Stegostoma tigrinum: one gene and its partner. The protein of the gene in region 1 purifies or fractionates together with the protein of each later gene. This does not show direct contact. Links are inferred from orthologs where the notes say so. Each region holds a gene or a part of one and is shown on either strand. Other genes may lie near its edges. The genes, in order: claudin domain-containing protein 1-like and golga7.

Region 1 (10,413 bases):
CTTGATTGCTGAAGTGTTTCCCAACTAGCAGGGAGCATTCCTGACTGTTGATTGTTGCGCGGTGTCCAATCATCCATTGTCATAGTGTCTGCATGATTTCACCAATATACCATGTCTCACTGCACCCTTGCCTGAAGTATATGAGATAGCCAACATTGGCTAAGTCACATGAGTATCTGCCATGTATATGGTGGGTGGTGTTCCCACGAGTGATGGTAGTATCCATGTTGATGATCTGACTTGTCTTGCAGAGGGTATTGTGGCAAGGTTGAGTAGTATTGTAGTCGATGTTGTCCTGAAGGCTGGGTAATTTTCTGCAAACAATGGTTTGTTGAAGATTTGTGGTTGTTTGAAGGCAAGAAGTGGAGGAATAGGGAAGATCTTGGTGAGGTGCTCATTGTCATCGACGACATGTTGAAAGCTATGAAGCTGGATGCCAATCTCGACACCTAAACCAGAGTGAGTACCTGGTAACTTCAGCTTGCCACTTGGGCCAAAGGACCACATTGGTGGACATCGGGCACCAACACCTCAGGGCACAATCCTTGGGTACAGGCCACATACACCACACTCCTTTGACACGGACTTTGGCATCTGGCATGTGGCAGTTTCTTAAGACCCTCACGGCACATTTCTGATTCACTTGTCCCTGCACTTCAAAGTCACACCTCAAGCTGCATCAGCAACTATCATTGCAATGATCCAAAAAGGACACTCTGTGCTCAGGACCATGAAACCAGCTCATGGTCTGGACTATCATGCCATTTTCTTGCTTTCTTAATGTGCACTCACTCCAAGACAATTCCGAAACTCCCAGCATTCCTGCCATGCCTTCGTTTGTCTTGCCCGTCAACCAAGGGTACCAGCCTCAGTGCTGCATTGCTGTGCTGCCGAGCACAGACATGATGCCAGGAAGCTTGTCATGGTTGACAGCAGTTCTCAGTCAAGGGAGGTAGCTTTCAGTCAGGAGCAGGGGCTTGAACATGGTCAGAGATCTTTGCAGGACAGTCAAGAACCTGTCTGCCTAAGAGGTGAGGAGCTCAATGTCAAATAGTCCACTAACCTCTTCGACTCTTTCTGCCTTTCTCTCGTGAATCTTTCCTCAAATGCTTGAGTGGCAGGTATTAAAGTAGGTGAAAGTGGGTGGCACAGTTATTGTTTTTGGCACAGGTGCGGAGGTATCCTGAGTGAGTGGGCAGCACAGGGGGACAGTGAAGAGATTGCTGTATTTGGGTTCAGTGTGCTGAGAGTGAGTGAGCGAAGATAATACAGGTGATAGTGAGGGTGGTCAAGCATGAGCCTTGAAACAGAAACAGAAATTGTTACCAAAAACTCAGTAGGTCTTGTCGCATCTGTGGGGAGAAAAATCGGTTAATGCTTCCAGTCTTATAGCAGACAGTGAAGGCAGTGACCTAAAAATACAAAGAAATTTTCATCAACTGGGTCAATGGGTTGCAGAGTGGGAAATGCAGTTTAATTTGGGTAAATGCAAGGTAAAAACAAACAAGAGCCGGACTTATGCAATTAAAAGTTGGGCCTGGTGTAGTGTTGTAGAACAGACAGACCTAGGGGTTCAGGTACATAATTCTTTGAAGTTTGCATCACATAGGGTGGCTAAGAAGGCGTTTTGCATGCTTGCCTTCATATTTTGGATCTTTGAGTAGAGGAGTTAGGAAGTTATGTTGAGGTTGTATAGGGCATTGATGAGGGCCCTTCTGGAGTCCTGCATTCAGTTCTGGTCACCTGTAAGAGAAAGGGTACTATTAAACTGGAGAAGGTTCAGAAAAGATTTACTTGCTGGGAGTTATGGGGAGAGCCTGGATTGGTTGGGACATTTTCCACTGGAGCATAGGAGATTGAAGGGTGACCTTACAGTAGTTTCCATAATCGAGAGGGTTTAGATGAGGTGAATGGAAGCTGTCTTTTCCTGAAGGTGGGACATTTTAAGACTAGGGGGCATATCTTTAAAGTGAGAGGATAAAGATTTAAATAAGATGTGTGCGGCAGTTTTTTTTTACTCAGAGAGAGGTTAACATGTGGAATGAACATCCAGAGGAAGTGGTGGATGTGGATACAGTTATAACATTTGGAAGATATTTAGATGAGCATATGAATTAGAAATTTCTGGAGGGATATGTGTCAGTGCAGGCAGATAGGGCTAGTTTAGTTTGGGATTGTGGTCACCATGGACTGGTTGGACCAAAAGGTCTGTTTCTGTGCCGTGTGACTTAATGAATCTGGTGACTTAACATCAGAGGAGCTTAAACCTTGTTGGGAGGTGTGTGCAGTAGCACAACTAGACATGTAGAAACATAGAAGATAGGAGCAGGAGTAGGCCATTAGGTCCCTCATGCCTGCTTTGCCATTCAATATGATCATGGCTGCTCATTGAGCTCAATACCCTAAACAGCACCCCTGCAGGATCCCTTGTTCACTTTAGCCACAAGAGATAACCTACCTCCTTCTTGAAAACATGTAATGCTTTGGCCTCAACTGCTTTTTTTTTGGCAGTGAATTCCACAGGCTCACCACTCTATGGATGAAGAAATTTCTCCCCATCTTAGTCCTACAAGATTTACCCCTAATTCTTAAACTATGACCCCTGGTTCTCGAATCCCCACCATTGGGAATATCCTTCCTGCACCTAGCCTGGCTAGCCCTGTTAAAATTTTAGAGGTTTCTATGAGATCCCACCCTTCCAAGCTCCAGTGAATACTATCTTAACTAACTCAATCTCTCCTCATTTGTCAGTCCTGGCATTCCCAGGAATCAATTCGGTAATCCATCACTACTCTCCTTTAGCAAAAACATCCTTCCTAAGGAGACAAAAACTACATAATGTTCCACATATGGCCTCACCAATGCCCTGTATGATTGCAGCTAGACATCCTTGTTCCAGTGCTTGAATTGTCTAGCTATGAAGGCCAACATTCAGTTTGTCTTCTTTACTGCCTGCTGCACTGGCATGTGTACTTTCAGTGACTGGGGCACCAGGACACCCAGGTCTCATTGAAATGAGTGAGTGCAAAGTAAAATGGGTGAGAAAACAGTGACATCTAACACTGGCAGAGTGGAGAAGGGCATTGACCTCCCACCGACACCACAGATTGTACCAACCCTGGGCTGCAGCCAATGTTTCCTTTAATATTAATCTGCTGGCCTGGGAGGTCTGAGGGGAGCTGTGGCATCTGGAAGTGGAGGCCAATGTTTTGGCATGCTGATCAACACATATAGAACTTTTAGCAGTGGCGGGGCTTGGAGGTAACAGTGCTGACAACCTCAGACTGGGCTGCCAGAGTCTGGTGTGGCACCCTCCTATGTTGGCTCTGGGGGGAAGGTGATAGTGCGTCTCCATGGCACTCCCTCCAGGGTCCTGTCCATAAAGCATGAAACCAAGATACCACCCCACGCCCCACACCACATCTGGAACAAGCATGGGGAAATGAGCAGAGCAAACCCAGACTTTTTAAGGATAGCATCGGTGCCAAAGTTTCTGGGATTTTCCCGCTCTGGCGAGATGTTTTGGGAACACCACATCCCAGAATTGGGGGCGAGAATCCATGGAGAGATGCTCAGTGGGTGTGAGATCAGTAGGGAAGAGGTGGATTTATTAAGAGGGGACAAGAAAAAAATCACTGGGCCAAGCACAAACACTCTGCCAAACATGACAAAACTGACACTTGGTCAAAAGCAATGAAAGATTTTTGATCCCAAAATGCTTGTTGCTGCGCTGATCCTTGTGGAATACCACTTCCTGCCTTCTAGCACTGTGAATAAACTGATATTTATATCCACCCTCTGTATTTTCTCTTGGAAAACAGTGCATAATCCAATCCAGTACTTATCCCCTGAATAAACTTTCACCAAATTTTGGTTTCTTCCCACAATCCAAAGGCATGCAGGTCACGTAGATTGTCCATGATAAATTGTCCATAGTGTGCAGGGATGTGCCAATTAGGTGAGTTAGCCATTGTAAAAACATCATGCCAATTTATGGGGATAGGGTGGTTGAGTGGGTCTGGCTGGATGTTGTTCAGAGGTTCAGTGCAAACTCAAAGGCCTGAATGGCCTATTCCTGTGTGGCAGGGACTCTGCGATTCTAAGTTATTCATCAAACTTAAACACAGAACGTTTTTGGGAAATTATGTTTTCATTTCATTATTTGTTCATGGGATGAATACATTGTTAGCTCGGCCAGCATTTACTTATATTTTATGAATAACCCATCACTTCGTTAACTAATTAAAAGAAGCAACGATTTACAAGCACTGCAGCCAACGCAATAACAAAATAGTAACAATAACAAAAGTTAAGAAAGGGTTGGAAGGGAATACATTAAAATGAAGCTGGATGAGGAAATAACAGATCTAAACACTTCCTGTTGTGCCCACCTCTTCCTAAATGTATTGAGGGCATGGGTGGACACTAGATGTTCCCTCTCCAAGGACAACTGGGCAGGAACATAATTGTGAAAGAGACCAAGTCAACTGGGAACCACAAAGCCCCTCCATGTCCCGCTGTCTCTCCGGTTGATGATAACATGAGCCAGATCCGGGCAGAGCCACTAGGTGGTCCATTGCCTTGTCCTTCCCCATCCACATCGGGCGCACAAATATTAACAGCATGGAACTGAAGTGACACCAAAAGAACAAAAGCCAACATTTTGAAAAGGACTAAGGAGCGCAATTAACTACAGCCAACATAGACATTGCCCAAAGCTGCACAGAATAAATAGTCAAGGCCAGAATTTATTGGCTGCCCTCAAGTTCCCATAGGGCAATTAAGAGTCAACCACTTTGCTGGAGTCTAGACTAGGTAGAAATGACAGCTTTCTCTCTCTAAATGACAATCGTGTTTTACTTGGCTTTCTATGACAATTGACAGGGTTACCATTAGGCCAGATTTTTACTGAATTCAAATTTCACTATTTGCCATGGAGGGATTTGAATACATTAGCCTGGTATAACACAGAAATACAGTTAATCAGGGGTTTCTGGATGACCTGGTTGCTGTAACTGCCGTTGCACTACCACAACGGCCCCAGACCTCTTCAGTTGTTCTCCCCTGGGTCCGTGGTGGGACAGCTGGCAGTTTTTGTAGATCTGAAACTAGAAACTCAAATAGGTAAGGCTGGCGTGTGGTAAGTGGGATGCGGTGGAAACCAAGAAATGGGTGCATGCAGGCCATCTGCAGCTTGTTCAGCGCGTTACAACAGGGCTGCAAGGGGGCGGGGCTGAAAGGGACAGGGTGGAGCTGAGTGTCAGGGGCGGGGCTAACCACCGGGGGCGGGGCTGAAATGGAGACGATGGAACGGGGTCACAGGGGGCGGGGCTGGGAGGGAGAGGGCGGGGCTGAAAGTGCGAGGGCGGGACTGGGCGACAGGGGCGGTTCTGAAGGGGTGCGGGCGGGGCGGAGCGACAGAGGCGGCGGAGCGAACATCTGCGGATGAGAACGAGAAGGCGCGGCTCAGTTTGGGCAGGCGGGGCGAAGATCGAGGGCCAAGGCTCAGCGGGTAGGGGTGGGGATGTGGCTGGGTGAAACAGCTCGGCAGGGTGGGAGAAACAGGGGCGCGAACGGAGTTACGGGGGTGGGCGGGGCGGAAGCAGATGGGGCGGGACTAGAATTGATGGCGCGAGACGGAGACGGTTGGGGGGTGCGGTGACAGAGCGAAGGTCGCGGCTAGGACTGAGGCGGGCGGGGGTCAATGCTGCTGGAGCTGGCGCGGGCGCAGAAAGCGGCGGGTAATGGGCGGACGCCGACCTTTTGTCGTCATCGCTGTGAACTGACGAATCCGAAGGGGAGGTTGGAAAGGGGCGGGGCCACGTTTGTGGCGCGATTACGTAGCGTTACCGGATGTTACGGCACAGCCGGAAGTGGATGTGAAGGCTGGTGGTTGAAGATTTGGAGAGAGGGCAGGTAGGAGTGTGAATGTGAGTATGAGTGTGAGTGTGAGATGGGGCTTAGTGGGGTGTCTGTGGACCGCTTGAGATGGGGAGGCTAACAGAGGTCAGCTTGCACGGTCCCGGTGTGGTGAAGGTCAGGACCCCTGGACGTTGTTGAACAGGGAGGTCTCTTCATTATCAGGGAAGCCCCATGGTGGTTAGTTAAGAGTAGATACTTGACCATCAAGAGCGAGAATCGGTGGTTTGTTTTTTTTGTCTTTCCTCCCTGCTAACCTTCCCAAACATGAAAAGAGTTGACGAAAACAAAATCCAAAGAACTGTGGACTTCTCAGTTAGCGTTTTGAGACATTGGCACCGTCGCCTTTCAATCTGAGAATTTATGCTTGAAATTTGGTGACTGTCTCAAATGCAGTTGTTCAGTAAAACAGTCGTCCACAGCCACGACTGTAGATTTTCAGTTAGTGCTCGTGTATGCACACAGAGAAAACAAAACAAAGAACTTCGGATGCTGGAAATCTGAAACAAAGACAGAAATCGCTTGCAAAACTCAGCAGGTCTGGCAACATCAGTGAAGGGAAAACAAAGTTAACGTTGTGGGCTCAGTGACGGTTCTTGAGATGTGCATTTGGATTTGTGTGGAGATTTTCACAGCTCTGCTAGCTGTCGGAATGCAGGAAAACTTCCTTCAAGAAGGGTATAAATACACTGGAAGCAGTTCAGTGAAGAGTTCCTAGACTAATACCTGTAATAGGTAGGTAGAGGACAGGCCTGGCTTACATTTGCTGAAGATTAGACAAGTCAGAGGTGACTTCTTTGAAGCATTTAAAATCCTAGGGTTCTTGAGAGGATGAATGTTGAAAGGATGTTTCCTTTTCTGGGCGTATCTTGAACTAGGCTCTTAAAAATTAAGAGCTTGCTAATTTATACAGATCAAGAGATTGTCTAAGGAAAACAGTGGTGCTGAATCTTAATAAATGAAACTGTGGAGATAGGCCTTGATAGGCTGGGGAGAGTTACTTAAAGGGATGACATGGATAGGCAATGGCAAACATTGAAGGAAAGCATGGGGGAACTGCAATGACATTTATTCTTGTCTGGCAATAAAACAGTATGGTTAACAGGGGCAATCCATACCTTACAAAGGAAATTGGAGATAGTATCTGATATAAGGACGAAGCATACAGATTGACCAGAAAAATAATATGTCTGAGGATTGGGAACAGTTTAGAATTCAACAGAGAAGGACCAAGGAATTGATTGAGAGAGGAAAAAAACAGTATGACAGTAAGCTTGTAGAGAACATTAAAAAAGTGGCACTAAGTTTCTGTAGGTTTGCGAAGACAAATGTAGGACACCCTTTTTAGAAACGGGGGGATGTATAATGGGGACAAAGAAATAACTGATTACATACTTTGGTTCTGTCTTCACAAAAGAGCACAAATCAGATATCAAAAATGTTGGAGAATGCAAGAACAAGTGAGAGGGAAGAATTGAGGGTGATCAATATTAGTGGAGAAATGGTGTTGGGAAAATTGATGGGATTGAATGGTGGCTAAATCCCCAGGGCCTGATAATCTCGATCCCAGAGTACTTAAGGATGTGGCTTGAGGAAAAAGTGGAGAAATTGGTGGTCATTTTCCAGGATTTTATAGATTCTGGAACAGTCCCTGCAGATTGGAGGATAGCTAATGTCACTCCAGTATTCAAAAAGGGAGGCCGAGAGAAACCAGGGAATTATAGACCAGTAAGCCGAAATTAGGACAGGGAAATGTGCAGTGGGACCTGGGCATCCTTGTGCACCAGTCTCTCTGAGAACTCTCGCCCCCATTCATCTGAACTCCAGTGAAAACAATTCTAACCGCGTCAATCCATCAGTCAGACCCAACAACCCTGGTAAACCTGCGCTGTACTCCTTAACAGCAAGGGCATTCTTCCTCAGAAAAGGAGAAGAAAACTGCATGCACCATTCCAGGTGTGGCCTCACCAAGGCCCTGCGTAACTGCAACAACACATCCCTGCTCCTGGACTCAAAACCTCTCGCAATGAAGACCAACATACCATTTGCCTTCTTTACCGCCTGTTGCAACTACATGCTTACCTTCAGTGACCGGTGCACAAGGATGCCCAGGTCCCACTGCACACTCCCCTGTCCCAAATTACAGCCATTCAGGTAGTAAACTGCCCTCTTGTTTTTGCTTCCAAAGTTTAGAACTCACATTTATCCAAATTATACCGCATCCGTTATTGATTTGGCCACTCACCCAACCTGTCCAGATCATGCTGAATGTCTCTGCATCCTCACCCCAGTTCACCCTCCCACCCAACTTGACAGTGTCAAAGCAGGGAGGACATTCCTAACGGTGGGTGTGACCAGAAGTAAGGGTTAGATTCTGAGGATGTGGGATAGACCCTTTAGGACTGAGATGAGGAGACATTTCTTCACCCAAAGAGTGGTGAGTTGGTGGAATTTATGGTCACAGAAAGTAGTTGATGCCAAAATATTGAATGTATTCACGAGGTGAGTAGCTATAGCACTTGGAGCGAATGGGATCAAAGGCTATGGTGAGGAAGCAGGATTAGGCTATTGAGTTGGATGATTATCCATGATCATGACAAATAGTGGAGCAGGCTCAAATGGCCGAATGGTCGTCTCCTGCTCCTATCTTCTGTATTTCTATGTTTCTGTTTCTTGAAACTGTTCCTAAATGGTGGTGGAAACAAGTATCTTGGAATATTTTCAATGAAAACAGTCTATAAAACTCTGGTTAGACCACACTTTGAATATTGTGTTCAGTTCTGGTCACCTCATTTTAGGAAAGATGTGGAAACTTCAGAGAGGGTGCAGAGGAGATTTACCAGGATGCTGACTGAACTAGAGGACAGGCCTCATGAGGAAAGGTTGAGGGAACTAGGGCTTTTTCCATTGGAATGAAGAAGGATAAGAGGTGACTAGATGGAGGTTTACAAGATGATGAGAGGCATAGATAGAGCGGATAGCCAGAGTCTTGTTCTGAGGGCGGAAATAAGTATTAAGAGGGCACATAATTTTAAGGTGACTGGAGGAAGTAATAGGGGAAATATCAGAAGTAGGTTCCACATACAGAGAGTGGTAGGCATGTGGAATGCACTGCCTGCAGTCGTAATGGAGTCAGACGCTTCAGAGACTTTTAAGCGACTCTTGAATAGGCACATAGAGGATAGTAAAATGTAGGGTATGCAGGGTAGATTGGTTTTGGTAGGATAATAGGTCGGCACAACAACGTGGGCCTGTACTGTGCTGTATTGTTCTATGCCTGTGCACTTCATAGGAGCTTTACAGGTCATGGCACGACATAAAGTTTTGTGCAGAGAAATTGGATCAGTTGGCTGAAAGCTCGCTGAGAAAGGGAGGGAAAATGAGCTTTAGAGGAGGAGAGCAAGGTAAGGGGAGTGAATCCCAGAGGCATGGAATGGCTGGCGATGTTGCAATTAAAATTTGGGATGCACAAAATGACAGCAGTGGAAGACCACTGAGATCCTGGTGGCTTGTAGGAGCTATAAAGCCCCGGTACACATCATAGAATCATAGAATCCCTTCAGTGTGGAAGCAGGCCATGTGGCCCCTTGAGTCCACATCACTCTGTGAAGAGCATCCCATCCATCCTGTTCCTCTTACTTTGCATTTGCATGGCCAATCCACTTTAGCCTGCAGACCTTTCGACTGTGGCAGGAAACCTGAGGACCCAGCATAAATCAATGCAGACATGGGGAAAATGCAAACTCCGTACAGTCAGTCACCCAAGGCTGGAATTGAACCTGGGTCCCTGGTGCTGTGAGGCAGTACTGCTAAACCACTGAGTCATTGTGCTATATTTTAAACATGGTTGAAAATTTTGAAGTATTCATGATACTTGATGTGGTGCTGCTGTGTATTAGTGGACAGAGACATGGTAGGGGAGCAAGACTTGCAAGAAAAGACATTAAATTGCTGTAAAGCTGGATTCTCCAGCATCTGCAGCTCCCATTATCTCATTAAATTGCTGCGTTTGGATGACTTTGTGTAGGGAAGGGCAGCTGGCATACCTTGGCAAGTGGTATTAAAGACAAAGCTGAGTTCACATAGGGACAAAGTTGGGTGATGTTATTGTTGCGAAAGTAGTGAAGGCAGAAAACATCTGGTTGGAATCTCTTCAAATGAGATGCAGTGTTAAGTTGAGATGTCTTGTTACCATGGAGAAGTGCAGAAATTTTGAACAAACATACTTCATACACTCTGAAATGTTTGGGAACATCAATACATCATGGGAACTGTTGCAGAAAAAGCTGCTCAAGTCTCTGCTTGTGTCTACTTGCTATCTTGGGTGTAGCATTTGCAAGTTTCTGTGTGTCTCACTTTACCTTTTATTATCTGCCTGGCTTCTCCTTGCATCCAAAGCACTTTAACCGGGATGGGATAGCCGCTGTCCCTGCTTCAGGATAAGGGGTTGGTTGTGAGTTAAGTGAGGGGAAATTGGAGAAGGAAGCTCGAGAG
Region 2 (10,580 bases), on another chromosome or scaffold:
GACTATTGGAGAAAATATAGAGACACAGGATTGAGGGAGATTTAGCAGTTTGGATTAGAAACTGGCTTTCTATAAGAAGGCAACGAGTGGTGGTTGATGGAAAATATTCAGCCTGGAGTCAGGTCACAAGTGGTGTGCCTCAAGGATCTGTTGTGGCACCATTGCTCTTTGTCATTTCTATAAATGACTTGGACGCAGGCATAGGTGGATGGGTTAGTAGGTTTGCAGATGACACTAAAGTCGGTGGAGTGGTGAACAGTGTGGAAGAATGTTGCAGGGAGGCTTGGATAACTGCAGAATTGGGCCGAAAGATGGCAAATGGAGTTTAATACGGATAAATGTGAGGTGATTCACTTTGGGAGGAATAAGAAGGCGGCAGAATACCGGGTCAATGGAAAGATTCTTGGTAGTGTGGATATGCAGAGAGATCTTGGTGTCCATGTACATAGATCCCTGAAAGTTGCCACCCAGGTTGATAGCGCTGTTAAGATGGCTTACGGTGTGTTATGTTTTATTGGTAGAGGGATTGAGTTCCGGAACCGTGATGTCATGCTGCAACTGTACAAAACACTAGTGCGGCCTCATTTGGAATACTGCATGCAGTTCTGGTCACCCCATTACAGGAAGGATGTGGAAGCACTGGAGAAGGCACAGAGGAGATTTAGCAGGATGTTGCCTGGTCTGGAGCACAGGCCCTATGAAGAAAGGCTGACAGACTTGGGTCTGTTCTCATTGGAGAGAAGGAGGCTAAGAGGGGATTTAATAGAGACATACAAGATGATCAGAGGATTAGATAGGGTGGACAGTGAGAGCTTTTTTCCAAGGATGATGACTTCAGCTTGTGCAAGGGGAGCATAGCTACAAATTGAGGGGTGATAGATTTGACAGATGTCAGAGGCAGGTTCTTTACTCAGAGTGGTAAGGGCGTGGAACACTCTGCCTGCCAAAGTAGTTAACTCAGCCACATTAGGGGCATTTAAACAGTCCTTGGATAAGCATATGGATAATGATGGGATCGTGTAGGGGGAGGGGCTTAGATCAGTTCACAGATCGGCGCAACATCGAGGGCCGAAGGGCCTGTTGTGCGCTATATTGTTCTATTTTCTACCTCACTTAACTTCCAATCTGCACCTTGCACCCATATAACAGGGGGAAAATAACAAGAACTACCACTAAAACTTAAGCACCATGTCAATTCAGAGAAATGCCACATTCTTGCACATTTGCCACATTTTCAGTAAAAGGTTGCAGCAGTGAATCAGCAAAAAAAAAAGCGTTGACAGAGATAATGGGAACTGCAGATGCTGGAGAATCCGAGATAACAAAGCGTGGAGGTGGATGAACACAGCAGGCCAAGCAGCATCTTAGGAGCACACAAGCTGATGTTTCAGGCCTAGATCCTTCATCAGAAAAGGAGGATGGGGAGAGTGTTCTGAAATAAATAGGGAGAGGGGGAGGCAGATCAAAGATGGATAGAGAAGATAGGTGGAGACAAGACAGACAAGTTAAAGTGGGGGGGGGAGATGGAGCCTGTAGAGTTGAGTATAGGTGTGGGAGGGGATAGGTCAATCCCGGGAGGACGGACTAGTCAAGGGGTCAGGATGAGGTTAGGAGGTAGGGATGGAGGTGCAGCTTCAAGTGGGAGGTGGGGATAGGTGGGAGAAAGAACAGGTTGGGGGGGGGCAGGGACGAGCAGGGCTGGTTTTGGGATGCAGTGGGGGAAGGGGAGATTTTGAAGCTAGTGAAATTCACATTGGTACCACTGGGCTGCAGGGTTCCCAAGCGGAACAGGAGTTGCTGTTCCTGCAACCTTCGGGTGGCATCATTGTGGCACTGCAAGAGTCCCAGGATGGGCATGTCATCTAAGGAATAGGAGGGAGAGTTGAAATGGTTCACAAGTGGGAGCTGCAGTTGTTTATTGCAAACTGAGTGTAGGTGTTCTGCAAAGCAATCCCCAAGCCTCCGCATGGTTTCCCCGATGTAGAGGTAGCCACAATGGGTACAGCGGATGCAGTATACCACATTGGCAGCTGTGCAGGTGAACATCTGCTTGATGTGGAAAGTCTTCTTGGGGCCTAGGATGGGGGTGAGGGAGGAGGAGTGGGGGCAAGTGTAGCACTTCCTGTGGTTGCAGGAGAAAGTGCCAGGTGTGGTGGGGTTGGAGGGGAGTGTGAAGCGGACAAGGGAGTCACGGAGAGAGTGGTTTTCACTAGCTTCAAAATCTCCCCTCCTGCCAGTGCATCCCAAAACCAGCCCAGCACGTCCCTGCCTCCCTAACCCGTTCTTCCTCTCACCTATCCCCTCATCCCACCTCAAGTTGCACCTCCATTTCTTATCTACTAACCTCATCTCGCCCCCTTGACTTGTCCATCCTCCCCGGAATGACCTATCCCCTCCCTACCTGCACTCACCTCTACAGGCTCCACCCCTGCCCCTTTAACTTGTCTGTCTCCTCCCCACCCATCTTCTACTCTGTCCATCTTCGATCCACCTCCCCATCTCTCCCTATTGATTTCAGAACCCTCTCCCCATCCCCCTTTTCTGATTAAGGGTCTAGGCCCGAAACGTCAGCTTGTGTGCTCCTAAGATGCTGCTTGGCCTGCTGTGTTCATTGAGCTCCACACTGTTACCTCTGTAAAGCAAACAAGTTTTCTTTCCCTAAATAAAATGCTCTGAATTAACTATCAGCATCTGGAATCCACTGTGGCCATTGACTGCTAAATGAAGTGTAACCTCAAATCTGATTAATATGTGGAAAACATCATCTACTTTTCCTTTAGGTGCTCCTATTTTTAAAAAGTAAATTCTTGTGATATGACACTCATTCAGCGACATCCTGATAAATACATACAAAACAAGGATGTTACAAATGGGGGGGGCGGGGGGGGGAGAAGGGAGAGAATGAAAGAGGCTGTCAGAAAGTCACTAGATGAGGGATGCAGGCTCCAGGTGAAAACTCTAGAGACGGAGTTTCAAATATCACCATGACAAATGGAGGAATTTGCCTTCAATTTTAAAAACAAAATAAAAAGATCTAGTGTTGAAAACTAGGCTGAGGATTGATGACAAATCAAACATCAAGTATCATTGAAACCCACCCCATTCACAAATGTCACTCAGCATACTAATCTGCCAATCTCACTAAATGTGGTGTGATAATCCCATACCCACAGCAATGTTGTGATCAGAGATAATGGGAACTGCAGATACTGAAGAATCCAAGATAACAAAGTGTGAAGCTGGATGAACACAGCAGGCCAAGCAGCATCTCAGGAGCACAGTGCTCCTGAGATGCCGCTTGGCCTGCTATGTTCATCCAGCTTCACACTTTGCTATCCCACAGCAATGTTGTTGTTTCTGAGCTGCTTTCTGAATGGCCCAGCAAGCCACTCAGTTCAAGAACAATTAGGGGCCAACAACAAATGCTCACCACGAAGAAACACAAAAAGAAGAAGACTTGAGCTTCATTCATGCAACTCCACAGCCGATGAAGGGCTTTCGAAGTGAAGTTATTGCCATGAAATAAGGCCAGCCAATTTACACACAGCAGGCTTCCAAGGTCAGCCATAGGATAACAAACAGCTTGTTTACTTTCAAGGAATACTGTCTGAGAAACAAATATTGGCTAGCTTTCTGGGGACAGCACTCTCTGCTTCTTGAACAAAAATGAGACCAAGGAGTCTGTATATTCACTGGAAAGGGGCAGACCTCTGCCGTACGTCGGGGTTGAATGCTCAAATTGTGATGACTGATTCGATTGGAAACGCACGGCCCTTTCCACAACATCTTCCCCTCAGGAACCCCAACCCTATATCAAATTTTCCCTTCACCCCACCAACCATTCCCCCTTCTTCCACATCCAATCTGGTCCTTTCTCTTAAACCATACCCTCTTCCCCTTCGTCATCCCAACCCCAGAAACCCACTTCGCTCAAACATTCCCCTCCCCGACCCTCCACCACACCCTTTCCCAAAACCCCTTGGAATAAATCGGTGAATCAAGTAAACTGTTACTTCCACGACAGACAGATGAGACACAAATAAACAAAGCGCTTCCTGAAGGGTGCTGGGGCTGGGAGAGTAGAGGCGGACCGGTTTCCGGGAGGCACCAGAGGAGTCGCCAGCCTCCGAGCAGACACAAAATTCGCGGCCACCGCCCATCCCCCAAAGAACCCCTTCTCGGGTTCGGCGAGAGCCACTTTCACCAGCCCCCAGCTCTCAAACCACCCGCCCACAGAATCCGAGAAACCTTTCCACCGAACCACCTCCTCCTACCTCCGCCATCTTGAGCCGCCGCCTGCTTCCGGGTTACTGGCTCCCACGATCCGAGTTCCGCCTGGAACAAAAGGTTCCCCCCCCTCTCAGAGCTTACAGCCTAGTACTACACATGTTTCTTCTGCATTGTTTGATCCTTCATATCATAAACCTCTTCAATGAGCTGGTCATCCTCGTAGTGTCAGTTTATTTTATTTTACATTTTGCATAAGTCGGCAAAATAGTCTGGAAGATGGTTATAACAAAACCCTAAAAAACCTGTGCAGCCCATTTAGAAAATCATAAACCCCATCTTCTTGCAGATTATACCATTGACATTGTTCTCACTTTTTCCTTCAGATTGGTACAAATTGTTCAAACACGTTCACATTCACACGCTTTCCTACACGAGTGGAGGCATACATTTGAATTTTTCTCAGCAGCCCTGAAACAGACCATTAACCCCGACTACCCAGAGGGAACCACTCATGAAAAAAAGTTGCACATTGAGGGGAAACGCTTATTTGTGAAACTGCTTGTTGATGTCTCATCAATATTCAATTTTCTATCTTCTCAAATACACTATATAAGCAAGAGATTGAGAAAATCTGACATGAAAATCAGTATGGGTACCTGGTAGATTTTTCCCTCTGCTTGCTCCGAAGAGGCTCCGGGTTGTTTACATTGGAGTATTAAAAAAAAGTAGCCCATTTGACCCTGGAGCCTTGCTCCGACATTTAATATGATCATTGCTGATTATTCAGGCCAACACCCTAATCCCATGCTTGCCGCTACCATATTCTTTTTGCCACAACAGTTATAGCTACCTCCTTCTTGCAAACATATAGTGTTTTGACATAAACCACTTTCTGTAGTCGTAACTTCCACAGGCTTAACACGCTCATAGTGAAGAAATTTCTCCTCATCTCAATCCTAAAAGGTTTATTCCCTATCCTGTAACTATCAACCCTGGTTCTGGACATTCCCCAAATTGGGGTACATCCCTCCTTCATCTAACCCGTCTTGTCCAATGCTACAGCCAATCTGTATCTCAGGGCATGATCCACGGGCACCATCCACACCCAAACCTTACCCACAACCATATTGGCATCTCACTCTCTGAGACACTGGCAGGCCACACACTTCCATTGCAGGGAGCACTGAAAACTAGCCTTGCAAATCTGCAACAGGAAATTTTTGCGCACAGACAGGCACACAGCTCAACAGTTGGACCAGGCTGCATCTCAGGACTGCTTGCTTGCTCTGAAAGTGTTCCCTTACTTAGCGTCTACCTGCACGCTTGCACCACTATCCCTTTCATTACCTCGTCATGCCACGCTTATTAGACTGCTGGGTGGTCAGCCAGAGCCAAAGGCTGTCAGGACAGCCATACTGAGGTATTCTTGAGCACAGACATGCACACACGCGTGCCTACACACACACACACACACACACACACACACACACACACACACACACACACACACACACAGTTTGTCACATTTAGCAGTCAGAAACTGTCCAGTGAGCCAGGGAGTGGGGGATCTTAGTGAATGGTAAACCAAGAAAACTACAGCTTTCACCAGCTGCAAGCATAGCATTCATATGACACATTTATTTGACCATATGATCCTCAGTTCAGTCAAAGGGGGGGGGGTCACTGTCGGTCAGTCAGTTACTTTAGGGATACAGTCTGCACACACTCAAGGGGCTTGGCCATGGTCAGTCAGCTGCTTGGGACACTCGCAGTCAGGGAATCTGCCCCAGTGTAGTTAGGGAGTGGGTAGCGGTCAGTCCTGCAGTGCCAACACAAGCTGTCAGCATTAATTGCAGACTGTTAGTCAGGGAGCTGCAAGGACTGCACTCAAGAGCCTGGTCAGTCAAAGACCAGGGACTGTTAGTTAAAGTTGGTCAGAGGCCTGAAGCAAATGAAGCCCACGGAGTTCATTCATTCACCATTTGGGAAATCCAAGGGGGCCCTGTTCTGGAAGGGAAGGAATCACTGCCAACAGGAGTGGAGGAATCAAGGCTAGTTTGGGAAAGCAGAGGCACTTACAGTGGTGTGGATGAGGTTGTGATGGGAAGAAACATGAGATGAATCGTAGGGGAGCTGGGAACAGTAAGACATGGCAAGGGAAGATAGCAATAATGGCATCACAAAATGCTAACGCTGCTTGAAGGGAAACTGTGCAAATTCCAAGGGCTCTGCATAATACACAAAATATTGCTTCATCATATGCCATGTAAGTGTAACAATGGTCTGCACTGAACAGTGAAGGTTGAACGTCTGGGATGGAGAGGGGGAGGGTGTCAGAAAATCATAGATTCCCTACAGTGCAGAAAGAGGCCATTCAGGCCAATGGGTCTGCAGTAATCCTCCAAAGAACATTCTGGGGGACAAGGCTTACCCACAGAGACCATGAGTCATGACACCATTGCACACTGCCCTGACTGATGTGGAGAGTTGGTATGGTGCTGCTCATGTGCTAACCATGACCCTTGATGCAGCAGAGCTTTGAACTGTTGAAGATGTGACTCTACTGCTCGGACCAGTCTTGGTTGGTGGTTGTAGGTGGACCCTGCGATAGAGTCAGGGCAGAATGTGTCCTCATCATCCTGGCTCCGTGCTGTCCTCTGGACAACTGCAGCTGACAATAAGACCATGTACTGTGTGCAAATAGACTGGGCAAATGGGGTGCAAAGGTCTGTTTTAGCATCCGTAGTGTCAAACACTACCCATGATATTCACTCATAGACTCAGAGAATCCCTGTAGAGTGTAAGCTGACCATTTGGCCCATTGAGTCCACAATGACTCTCTGAAGAGCAGCCCACTTAGACTTACCCTGCTACCTAATCCTCAATCCTGCATTTCCCTTGGCTAGTCCAACTAGCCAGTGCATTCCTGGACAGTTTGAGGCAATTCAGCATGGCCAATCGACCTAGCGCGCATATATCTTCTCCTCTATCCATCTTCAGTCCGCCTCCCCCTCTCTCCCTATTTATTTCAGAACCCTCTCCCCATCCCCCATTTCAGATGAAGGGTCTAGGCCCGAAACATCAGCTATGGTGCTCCGAAGATGCTGCTTGGCCTGCTGTGTTCATCCAGCCCCACACTTTGTTATCCCACATATCTTTGAACTGTGGGAGGTAACCGGAGCACCTGAAGGAAACCCACACAAACATGGAGAGAACATGCAAACTCACACATAGAGTGGCCAAAGGGAGGAATCAAGCCTGGGTGCCTGGTGCTGTGAGGCAGCAGTGCTATCCACGGAGCCACAATGCCGTGCAACTAATTAGAGTTATAGAGTCAGAGTGATGTACTGCAAGGAACCAGACCCTTCAGTCCAACTCATCCACTCAGACCAGATATCTTGAATGACCAGCATTTGGCCCACAGCCCTCGAAACACTTCCTGTTCATGTACTCATCCAGATGCCTGGTAAATGTTGTAATTGTACCAGCCTCCACCACCTCCTCCAGCAGCTCATTCTATGCACACTCCAACCTCTGAGTGAAAATATTGTCCCTTGGGTCCCTTTTCAATCTTTCCCCTCTCACTTTAAGCTTATGCCCACTAGTTTTGGATTCCACTATCCTGGGAAAAAGACCTTGGCGATTCACACTGTCCATTCCCCTCATCGTTTAATAAACCTCCACAAGGTCACCCCTCAGCCTCCCGGTGCTCCAGGGAAAATAGCCCCAGTCCATTCAGCCTCTCCCTATAGTTCAAATCCTCCAATCCTGGCAACACCCTTTTAAATCTTTTCTGAACATTTTCATGTTTCACAACATCTCTAAGTAGGGAGACCAGAATTGAATGCAGTATTCCAAAAGAGGTCTAACCAATGTCCTCATGGAGAAGATATCACTCCATATGGCTCCAAACTCAAGAATGCCGTTGGGCACTCAGCAAAAGCTGTAGATTGTCAATGTTGGGAAGGATGAACTGGTCGGCAAAACACTACACAGTCAATTATATTGGCAGCCTTAGAGGCTATCCATTGCGACCCTGGTTCATGACTGCATTGTCTAATCCCCTGGCTAATGCAGAGCACAAATTGACAGACACTGGTGCCTCAACTAGGGCCATGATCAAGCAGAGCATTAGGCTGTTGAAGATGAGGTTCAGATGCTTGGATTGGTCTGGGAGAGCTTTCATTTGTTGTTTTTTTTAATATTGAGATGTGTATAAAACACCACTTGACAGAACGGTCACAAAAGTTTTGAGGTAGACTAAGGAAACATAACACAAGAAAAAAAAGTCATGTTTCTCCTTCTTATGTAGTCAATAGATTCCACCTTCTCTTGTGATGCATGAATCAACAGCAACACTTGAAAAAAGAAATTGTCGATTGCAAAGCCCTTTGAGATGTCCTTCGCTCATAAAAGGCACCATCCTCTGAAGAAGGGTCTAGGCCCGAAACGTCAGCTTTTGTGCTCCTGAGATGCTGCTTGGCCTGCTGTGTTCATCCAGCCTCACATTTTATTATCTTGGAATCTCCAGCATCTGCAGTTCCCATTATCTCTCATCCAAACCCATGTATTTCTCTCAAAATACATAAAGGAGACAATATTAATAATCACTTGCATCAGTTTTAGGTTTTTGTGGACAACTTAAAATTTATGGAATTTAATCCCTGGACATTAATATGAATTCTTGGTGTATGTAACAAAAACACAGTCTTGTTCAGTCACCATGAACCAGTACTTTCGATAATATATTGCACGTGACCTGACACAATACCTCTGTTGTTATAAAACAGCTTTTCCTCCGGGGCCACTGTAACTCCAGGAGGGAGCACTTGGTGATCATGCTCGGGAGCCATGTCCAGCTGATCCTATCAGATAAATAACAACAGATAGTTTATTCGCATTTGTAATCACAGATTGTAAATTGAAACTAAATGAGAAATTTCTCCGATGCTGCATTAGGTGGCCAGGTTGTTTCACAGGTCAACTATCACCAAGTACGACGTCCAACATAACTGTTCAAAGAAAGGAAATTGGTGTTTTTCAGGATGCATCCTATGAGCCCTGGAAATCTGACACAACTCTGTGACTTTTTTTTTGCTTTACCCTATTTCATTTCCACTCAGGTTTGGAAAGGACACTGCTTCGGTCTACTGCCTTGGGACACTTCAAATCATGTAACTTGTCCCATTGTACAACAAAGGACAAGACCATTTGGCCCATTAAATTTTTCCACACAGTGCCACATGTTCTTTTGCTAGTCTCTGTAAACTTGCATTCATTGATGAGACAACGTTCAGCAATTCAGTCATGAAGACCTCTTATACTCGACTTTAAACATGAACTCTGTTTCTTATTCCTCAGATGTTGAAGACTTCCAGTATTTTCTATTTTTATTACAGCAACTATAAATTGTTTTTTTTTATATCTTCTAACTCAAGCCACTCTGACTCCAAATGTGCGAAAATACATGTAAATCAATGGAGAGAATGACAATCCTTGTCAGCTCAATTTTCACTTCCCCAGTCTGGTGGATCCCAGGAGCTTGTGTTTTTGAAGGAAACAGTGTGGTTAACAAATGCAAGGAGAGGTGAGAACTGCATTCAATTCCATCACCCATCCCACCCCCACAACCAGCGCCTATTATCCAGCAGACCAGGGAAGTTGATATTGAGCTGGGAACTGAATCCAGTTTTTACCCACTTCAATCTAGCTGTCTGCTAATTCAAGTTTTGGGTGGCAAGGACACTCAGTCCAAGTGGTCCTATGTTAAACTTACAGGAGAAATCCCATGAAGTCCTTTGAGCAATTTTATCCAAAGCCCTGGATGAATCAAAGCAGAAAAATGAATGTTCCCTTTTAAATTCTGGTCCCTGCAACTAAACCATATTGTTCCCCAATCCCCACTCTCCAAGGCTTACTGGATAGCTGCAAAATGTTCCTCCCCAGTTACATGGCAGATACTCTGGCATTCCCACCCACCAGATGAGGCAACGACTCCTGCTGGGCTCAGAGGAGGTTGGAGATAGACCGGAGTTGGGGCAAAGAGTGTTGAAGTCCAAATGTGGAAAAGGGCTTGGACTGTCTGTCAAAATCTTTCCAGGCCTCAGAACACACCTTTAGCACTCACACAGCCAACAACCAACGTCTTGATATAGGCTCGGAGGGTCCATTTCACCCATCTCCACCAACAGATAAACTAAAATCTCAGTTAAACCAGGGATGGTTTTTGGCTTTAAAAAAAATATTTTTGCATATTAAGTTTTGCATTTAAGGTTCAAACATTTGAAGAGACTCGTAAATGGGAGAAGTTGAGCATGGCTGCACAGAAAATAAAGAGCTTATTGACAGCG

Evidence for each region.
Region 2: the proteins of claudin domain-containing protein 1-like (region 1) and golga7 purify together in Homo sapiens (affinity purification with mass spectrometry; 3 studies listed by BioGRID and IntAct, counting the BioPlex papers as one, with this or other methods). This does not show direct contact. The link is inferred for Stegostoma tigrinum from reciprocal best matches to the Homo sapiens genes CLDND1 and GOLGA7.

What each region holds. Positions count from the first base shown.
Region 1 is NC_081394.1:10,804,914-10,815,326, forward strand, and holds the start of claudin domain-containing protein 1-like, read left to right. Parts: upstream 1-5,410; 5' UTR 5,411-5,512; intron 5,513-5,802; exon of another isoform or gene 5,803-5,930; intron 5,931-10,413. UniProt on the Homo sapiens protein: Plays a role in negatively regulating the permeability of cells to small molecules.
Region 2 is NC_081393.1:13,281,159-13,291,738, reverse strand, and holds the start of golga7 (golgin subfamily A member 7), read right to left. Parts: upstream 4,372-10,580; 5' UTR 4,284-4,371; coding exon 4,275-4,283; intron 1-4,274. UniProt on the Homo sapiens protein: May be involved in protein transport from Golgi to cell surface. The ZDHHC9-GOLGA7 complex is a palmitoyltransferase specific for HRAS and NRAS.